Linked DNA regions of Yarrowia lipolytica. The protein of the gene in region 1 interacts with the protein of each later gene in a pairwise test. Links are inferred from orthologs where the notes say so. Each region holds a gene or a part of one and is shown on either strand. Other genes may lie near its edges. The genes, in order: YALI1_C17609g and YALI1_B00273g.

Region 1 (4,433 bases):
CGAGATTCAACACGAGCTGCAGTATGTGGCGGGTATGCACTGACGGCACTGGCTGCTCCGCTGCTCCAACAGGGTTCAGTTGCGCATCGATCCAGGGTTACATGGTTTGTATCTTGCAGCGTGGGGGTCAAGAGATAGGGAGGAAGGGAAGGAGAAAGACACGTTGGAAATGACAGTCGGAACAGACGTGGAACGTGAGGTTGCTTGGACGATACGATAACGCCCTGTACAATCTATGGTCTTCAGACGCTCCATGGAAACATCTTACCCGTACCATTCATCTCTTCTGTTCTAGAACCATGTGTGTTATGAAATCTGACTTTGCAGGGTCGGAGTCAAACACCGCTTTCATCTTGGTTAAGCGAGTGGATTGTTTTACGAGATCGACGGTCTGAGATGGAGCTTGGCGCTAGTTTCAGCTTGCACGATCTCCACATGGTTTCAAACCGTGTTGCCATCTGCAGTTCTGACTGCATAGATACAGACGCTGCCAAGGTCTAATGTCATAAATGTCATCTTATGATATGAAGTCAGGTGCTATTATATCATTGAACTTCAATAAAATGCATTATGCTAATATAAATATACGTGTTAACTTCATTCTTCTTTGTTGCGGTCGCGCCTGTGGTCCTTTTTGTCGTCATCATCACCTCCCAGGACTCATGTAGTCCACCGGCTCAGGGGTATCTCCTGCCCACTGAACAGGCTCATCATATAACGAACGGGACTTCTTCTTTTTGGGTCCCGGAGTAGCTAGAGGACTTCCAAGAGTCCTGGGAGGTGGCGGGGACTCGATATGCTCGTCTTCACTGTCGCTATCGAGTCCCAGACCCTCATCCACTCCATCATCACTCACAGGGGACTGAGGAGTGAGATTCAGCGACCATCTGGGAGACAAACTGCTGATATTTCGCTTGAAGTTGCGTCTCAGATGGCGTCTGAAGGACCCAAAGTCAGAGTTGTCTTCCGAGTCGTCTGTATTGAACATCAATCGTGATCTTCGAGATAACTCGGGACCGGTACCTCGAGTCAGAGCCACAAAGATGAGCACCACCAAAAGGATGAGACCCTGGAACATGGACATTCGTTTTTGAAAGACAAGATCATCGGCCAGCATGGCAAACCGTTGCGAAATGGCAGCCATGTTCTTGTCTGTTTGGCTCTTTTGCAGATCAAGCTCAAGGATGGCTCTATTGAGCTTCTGTTCTCGTTGTTGAGAGAACATGACAAGCTGTTGCAGCACGGTGGCATTGAAATGGAACAAAAAGTCGTCAATCTTGGAGTTTTGCTTCTTTTCAATCTTGTACAACAAGTCTCTGAGCACCTTGGATTGCTCCTCAACGTACTGGAGAGAGAGGGTTGCGTTAGACTCAAGTAGAGACAGACGTTTCATGATAGTCTTGTAGATTGACTCTTGAGTCGGTGGAGTTGTTGTGGAGTTGTTAGATTGGTTGTTGGTGGTGGTATCGGTGTTGTTATTGCTGTTGTTACGTTCAATCTTGCGGTAGAACTCATCCAAACGGCAGTATTCGTTGAGGCCCAGTTTGACCTTGTCCAGCGACAGTTTGGGGATGCATTCGCCCTTTTCGATGACGGTATGGTTCAGCGAAGGGTTGGACTTCTCAACCACATTCTCCTGGATCATCTTCTCTTCATGGAGCGTCTCCTCAGCCTTTTCAAACTGAGCCGTTTCTTCCTGAAGAGATTCGTCCAGCTTTTCGCCCGCGACAATGTCACCCTCTCCTCCACTGCGTTTCCATTCCTCCATCATGGTGGTTCCATGGACTCTGACCACAGATATGGGACAGTAGTACTCGTGTCCCCAGTGTGAGAGGAACTCGATCTTGACGTATCGCGCCCAGATCTGAGGAACGGTGATGTCAAAAGTCTGTAGATCTCGGATGTTGTCGGCTGTAAAGTCACCAAGCACTCTCCATTCTCCAGATGCCACGGGGTATCGATCGGCCACGCTGATTCGGATGTCTTTGAACATGGACGAGAAGAACTCGTAGTTGCCGACCACCACCTGGTCGACGAGAATGTCCTGGCACAGCTCGATGATCACATGTTTGCTGCCGGCCACACATTTGTTGAGTAGGTACGAGTCCTTGTTCTCCACGAGAATGGCCCCTGCTCCCTTGACATCTTTGTTGCTCTTGACGACCGTAGCTCCGCAGTCGAACGACGCGTAGTTGAACCGATCCTTGTAGGTCTTGCCCGGGTCGTCGGACGCCGCGAAGAGAAAGTCGATTTCGCCCGTGAACGGGTCCATTTCCGGCTCGCTGCCTCCACCACCGCCGTTACTGTGTCCGGGACCGCTTCCTGGCGTCGATCCAAGGTTCTGCCCGCTCTGCAACAGGTTGTGTATTCGCCACTCTTCGAACGATCGCAGCGTCGGGGCCGGGTGCGACGGCGTCGGTTGGCCCGCCTGAGACTCGCACATCACCAACCCCGCCGTGAGGACCAGTTTCCAGAGGTTCATTTGCGCTTTTTCAGAGGTCGGTGTTTTTTTTTCAATATGTCGACAGATATCACACTTCTGTAGGAAACTTAATTAGGGGGTGGTGGAGACTGGAGATTGGAAATTGGAGATTAGGGGGATTAGGAAGGACTCAATTGAGGAGAGAGTCGGACTATTGAGCCGTGGCAATCTCGATTAGGGAACGGATCTAGGAATATTTGAGCCCAAGTCTCGTGATCTGACGTTCACATCTGATACAACCATTGCGTCATATCTGCACCGCTCTACAGTGTTAGACTGAAGTTGGGTGCTGATTAATTGCGGGAGTCGATCTGGTTATGTAATCACGTTGGCAGAAGAAGAAATGCTAGTCTTGAGGGTTAGGAGGGATAGGAGGGACGACATGGTTGGAATTGTGGTGGTTTTTGAGTAACAAGACTCGAATTTCTTCGTTTTTTCTGCATATACATTCATTCCCGAAAGTCGGGCTCAAGCAGTTCATACCTAACAAAAATGTCAACAAAACCCAACGTACACAACTACAGTCAACTAAAGTGGAGCAGCAAATTATTCAGAAAAAAAAAAAAAAAAAAGGTCAGTTTTCGACAGTTGAAGACAGGTGGGGTTTGGAGAACTTTTAATCTGGACATTTATTGTCTAAATATGAAAGCGAATCTACAATTTTATGGAAATTTTACCTTTGGAATGCTGCGTTTTCTTGTATAGTGGACTACAGACAACAATTCAATCTCATACTACCAATCGAGCTCACAAAGCCCTGGGAACTTTTGAAAATGCAATAATGGTCATTATTAAGTATGTTTATCAAGCTCTTCACTTGGTGTGGTCCGTTTGTTTCCCATTTGAGAGGAGTTTTTCTTTCTTCTTTTTCAATTACAGTAAATACAGTAGCATTAGAGACATTGACATGGACTGGACCGCGGTAAAAGATTCGAAACAAAGACAACAAGTCTCTTAATCATTTAAAAAGAGCTATTATACCTAATAACTGTAAAGATCTGTCTAGTCTTCGTATTAGATAGGGACTTCTCTGTTCTGTTCTGTTCTGTTAGCCAGATATTTTCAGTCATAGACCCAGCTAGACTTGTTTGAACAGAATGAGTCCTCTCTTTGAGGATGTGATAGTGATTCACCAAAACTAAATGACTCTTACGCTTGCTTGTTGCCAAATTGGAATGGGCGAGAGAACCGCTTCCGACTAAAATGCGGTTTACAAAATGGCCAGGTTTCGTCTGGAGAGGGTCTTTGGGGCACGGTTTAGAGGTCTAGGGGGTTTGTTTCTGTCGCAGTTTTCATTATGAGAACTTCATCAGCTGGTTTCCTTGGCTAAATCTTTCTTATCGTCATTTCATGTATCTGGAACCGCTTGACTACATACAGTCTACGTAGATCCATGTCTGTAAACCGATACTGGCAAAGTATACCACTTGGAAACGTATCCAAAGGGATATAATCAAGCCGTGCAAACGGATCTCTCCGTGTTTCTTTAGTGTGAGTGCTCCATATCTTCTTTGTATGATCATTGGCAGACCTCCGTGCTCAAAATACACGAATGTATAAACGGAACTTGTGGAGAAACGACTCTATGGCATATAGATAAACTCCCCGCTTTTTAAGGGGAAAAGACAGGAAAGCCAGAGGTTTTCAGCATCTTTTTGAGGCAGTTGCTAAGCCGCGGTAAGAGGTTTCTTGTCTAGAGCTGTATTAGCTATCATGAAGCCCAGGTTTCTGTAGAAGCGGCGTATTCTTCACTTTTAGCGCGACGCAGAAGGCAGGGCTAATAGCATAGTCAAAGTAGCCGAACAGGTTGTATCGTCTGTCCTCACAGCTTGATGTTCGTTCGATACCCTAACAAAGTTGTCTATTAAAATTGCCCCTCCAAAGGACTGGATGGGAACTCTTAACAAAAACTTAAACTAACAAAAACTAAACTAACAAAAACTAAACGATT
Region 2 (4,465 bases), on another chromosome or scaffold:
CGGAGTCCTTTGTACGGCCTTTACCGTATCTACTCACTCCTGAACCCGTCGCTTTTTTGTTTATACCTCATCGTAATATACATTTGTTCCATATCAGCTAGTAGCCATATAAATAGGAGACGAGCGTGGAGGCCGAATTCCTGCACTTTGCAATGAGACCACTCGCCTGTTCATGGAGACGGTATTGGAAGCCTGACAGATCAGAAGATGATACTCTGGGAGATCACAGCGCAAGATAGAGAGGAGACCTAACTCCAGAGAGTCACCCATTCAGACACTAGAAATTATACCACCTCGGAGAGTGTGACAGTGGTGGGCAATGTTCCACTGTCTCCTGCTGTGGCGTATGTCTAAGCCGCTATGTGGAGCTGGGCGTTCTAGTCGAACATGTGGTGCACCTGTCAGTGTTGCCGAATCCAGTCTAAAACCCAGCTGTCACTGTTTCAGATCTTGTTGCGATTCCCGTCTCATGTTATCGTCAGGAATCCACAACTTGATGTCGACGTTGCCTCAACCTGTCATGATAGATTCCTCAATCCGTCTCGCTATCTCCACTGGATTCTCGGCTTATAGCCCTCAATAGCACTGGCCTTATCCTTACTACTCATGTCCTCCAACGACTCGTAGTCTGGCTCCACGTCATTCTCGTCGTCCTCGCGCTCTCTCAGCGAAATCTCCTGGATCTCCTTGCCCAGCTTGGTGATCTCGTCTCCGTTGGCAGGAATGTTCATCCTAGCGAGCTCGGGGTCCTTGAGCGACATCTGCGTGAACCCCTCCACAATCTCAGCCATGGATTTGCCCTGCTGGGCGTCCGACGTCAGTTCCTCCAGCAGGATGATGCTGCCCTCGTACTGTTTGCACGAGCCATAGTCGCCCCAGATGCTGCCTCGCAGGTCCAGAGGGTCCGACGACAGCTGTGCACGATAAAACTGGCTCGCCTGGTAGTGCTGCTTGCTGCAAAAGGTCCGCAGATACGCCCACGGCACGTCAAACTTTTGGTTCTGGGCCAGCGTGCCGAGAATCTTGTTTTTGCCCGACGCAGACTTGGGCACCAGTCCGCACGGAGGGTACCCGCAGATGTGTTCGTAAGTGCGTTCGCCAACCAGCTCGTCGTACACCTCGGGGGTGAGGTATCGCGACGCGTACTTGAAGGTCTGGATGTCGGTTTTCTTCGCCGACAGAGCCTCGATCACGGCGATCGTGATGAGTGCAGAAAGCTGCAGGTTTGGCGGCTCAGACCCCGTGTTTCCAAACCGAGTTCGTAGCTTTTCGATTTCCTCGCGTAGTTGCAACATGAATGTGTGGGGGTTGTTGTGGGTGGTGTGATTACGCGTCAAATGGGGTGTATTTGAAGCCGTTTGAAAAATTGCGGTCGTTTGGTTGCCGTCGTGGATGTGATTATCGGCGGTTTCGTGATTTTCTCGATTTTTTTCCGATTTTTGCGGTTTTTTTTTACCGCCACTCTCAATCGTGTTGCTGTCGTCTGCCTTGCTAGGTGGTCAAGATGCTGAGTTTAAATGGTCTGCAACAGAGACCAGTGACCCGCATTGCAGCCAGACGTACGTTAATACGACAAGAGACGGGGGGACAACTGGAGGACCATGTAGAGAACTAGGGAGATATCTCAATACACAAAACGACCTTGCTTGGTCAGCACATCAGATTGCCACTTTCAGAATTCGATTTCGACCAATATTGCGGTTTCTGGAGAAGTTTTTAGCACAAAGTATTAATCCGGTGTAGATTTGTAATTTTGATCAGAAAAGTTTCAAACATGAAGCTGCTGACTAATTCAACGTCTTATAACGTCCACATTCAGCTTTTTACTCTCTAATCCCCACCAATTACCGCCCACATCCACCCATGTATTTCCCTCTCACTATTGACGTCAGGCAGATGGAAACTTTAATTTGATGTCATCTCCTATTCACTGCAAAATCCCCCACAATGCGAAGGCGAACCAACACGTCGGCGAAAAGCGACCGAATACGTCCGCGGCGGTCTCTGTCGTCTCCGTCGCGTCCGCGGCTGTCGTTTTCAGACTTTGAGGGGTTTGAACGGCCCGAAAACCCGCCGGTTCCACGCTCATTATGGGACTATCTCCAGGTGCACCTCCAGGGCGAACAGCCGTACACCGAGGAGAAAAATGAGCACCTGCTGTCGCTTATCAAGGTGCCGCTGAATCTGGAGATGATCATGGCCTTTGGATTTCTCACTTGCCTCGACTCCTTCCTCTACACGGTCACAATCATGCCTCTCAAGGTGGCCTCAGTACTATGGGGCATAGCCAAACGTCGGTCGACCCGCCACGTGACCATGACCAACATGAGCGACATCATCAAGGCTGTGGTTGTCATTTCGACAATGACCTTCCTGCTGCTCATTGACACCTCCAAGCTCTACCACAACATCAGAGGCCAGAACGCCATGAAGCTCTACGTCATGTTCAACGTGCTGGAAATCACAGACAAACTGTGTGCGGCTTGGGGTCTGGATGTGCTGGAGTCGCTCTTTTCCGCAGGCACCCTCAACAACTACCAGCGACTCGCGACATACATGGGTCTGTACATGGCTTACTCGGCTGTGCATTCAGGGGTGCTGCTGTACCAGATTGTGACCCTCAACGTGGCCGTCAACTCGTACTCCAACGCGCTGCTGACCCTGCTGTTGTCCAACCAGTTCAACGAGGTCAAGTCGACCGTTTTTAAGCGGTTTGAACGCGAGTCTCTGTTCCAGCTCACCTGTGCAGATATCACCGAGCGGTTCCAGTTGTGGGTGCTACTGGTGTCCATCGGACTCCGGAACGTGGTCGAGGTCTCCAATACGGGTCTCGTTCCATCGTCGTGGTCGGGCTGGAATCGATGGCTAGGGGCTCTGCTGGGTCCTGCTCTAGTGGTGCTGGGCTCCGAAGTCGCTGTCGACTGGCTCAAGCACTCGTACATTGCGAAATTCAACAATTTCCGTCCCAGAGTGTACCGCAAGTTTCTGGACGTGCTCACTCAGGACTATCACGAGCATGCATTCAATGACCAGCTCATTACTCGACGAATGGGCCTTCCTACCACGGCTCTGGCGTGCGTCTTCATGCGCATGTGCTACCAGAGCTACCAGATTCTTTTCGAGTCTGGAGAGTCGCGTTTTGTCAAGGGAACGCCTACAGTCAGTCCCCAACTGAGAGAGACATTGGCACAGGTGGACACAAAGTTCGTCAACAACGTGTCCGTTTCTGAGATTGCCCAGGCCACAAGGACGTTTTTCAGCTCGTTGTACAACGGCACATCGCCTCTGGTGTCGTTTTCTTCCAACATTATCCCTGTGTGGGCGAAATTCGACATTTACTATGTGACGTATCTGCTGACGATGATTCTGGTGTTTGCGCTTGTGTTTGCCGTACTGGTCATCTTCAAGTTGTTTCTGGGCCTCACCTTGTTGAGGTACAGTCACAGCAAGAGAAGACGACAGAAGCGAACGTTTGACGAGATGGAAAAGAAGAGATCTGAGTCAATCAAGGACGATTATCTGCCTGGAAAGACGAGGGGGGGACAGGGCGTGATTGAGCTGACGGACGATATGCAGCAGGGTCTGTACAGCGACGGGGAGGAAAAGAAGGAGAAGCAGCACAAGAAGAAGGTGGTGGAGCTGCAGAATGTCAGCAGGTTTGATATGGTGAGCAAGAGGATTTGGTAGCCGAGTGCGGCGAGTGTTCCAATGAAGCGTAGCCTTGGCTACCCGGGGCACCATTCCTCCACTAGCTCGCATACCTCCCATATTTATTTATTTTATGAGCATTTTTAATGATTGGTCATGTGACCGCAGAGATGTATTGCTGTGTCATGCCTTCTCCAGCAGTTCTTGCAAGTCATACGTCTGAGCTGAAACAATCAGATCGCGGTGTTTTCGAGTTGTAGATGGTCTTCAGGGCTTCCCTGAAGAGAATTATCACCGACAGTTTGTCCATATCTCTGGTTGGATCACAAGATACTGTCACTCCAGTCACGACCAGCCAGTAGTACCAAGAGGTGTTTGATTGAACGCTAGACATTCGTCGGTACTGTACTCCAATCTCAAGCTTTTTGCCAGTCGACACTTCTCCTTCCCTCGACTTGCCCTCTCTACTGCCATCGTCAATGACAAACTACACGCCTCTCACCCATTAATCATTCAATCTATTATATACACTTATGGTCTATCTGCTGTGTGCGCATAGTTAACGAGGGACTCAGCAAAGTGACACCAATCGTCTCGCTTTCATTCGGTTAGGTGGCCGCAGTGATCCTCCAAAAGAAGTCAGCCGCTTCGCACCTACTTCTTAGAGGGAGGGAGGCACCTCCTCGCCCTTCTCCTCAGCCAGTCGCTTCTCGAGCTTCTCAAACTCCTCGAGAGAAACCTTCTCCTCGGGATCGAGGAACTGCTCGACACCAGTCACCTCCTCGACGTAGTGCATGAGCATGCTCTCGATACCGTT

What was found.
Region 2: the proteins of YALI1_C17609g (region 1) and YALI1_B00273g interact in binary tests that used the Saccharomyces cerevisiae proteins (3 or more experiments, as listed by UniProt). The link is inferred for Yarrowia lipolytica from reciprocal best matches to the Saccharomyces cerevisiae genes SLP1 and EMP65.

The regions. Positions count from the first base shown.
Region 1 is NC_090772.1:1,758,438-1,762,870, forward strand, and holds YALI1_C17609g (uncharacterized protein), read right to left. Parts: upstream 2,483-4,433; coding exon 647-2,482; downstream 1-646. Other genes in the region: YALI1_C17580g (uncharacterized protein), read left to right, coding at 1-43. UniProt on the Saccharomyces cerevisiae protein: May be involved in membrane protein folding. Required for localization of MPS3 to the nuclear envelope.
Region 2 is NC_090771.1:24,858-29,322, reverse strand, and holds YALI1_B00273g (uncharacterized protein), read left to right. Parts: upstream 1-1,947; coding exon 1,948-3,687; downstream 3,688-4,465. Other genes in the region: YALI1_B00280g (uncharacterized protein), read right to left, coding at 546-1,295; YALI1_B00242g (uncharacterized protein), read right to left, coding at 4,310-4,465. UniProt on the Saccharomyces cerevisiae protein: May be involved in membrane protein folding.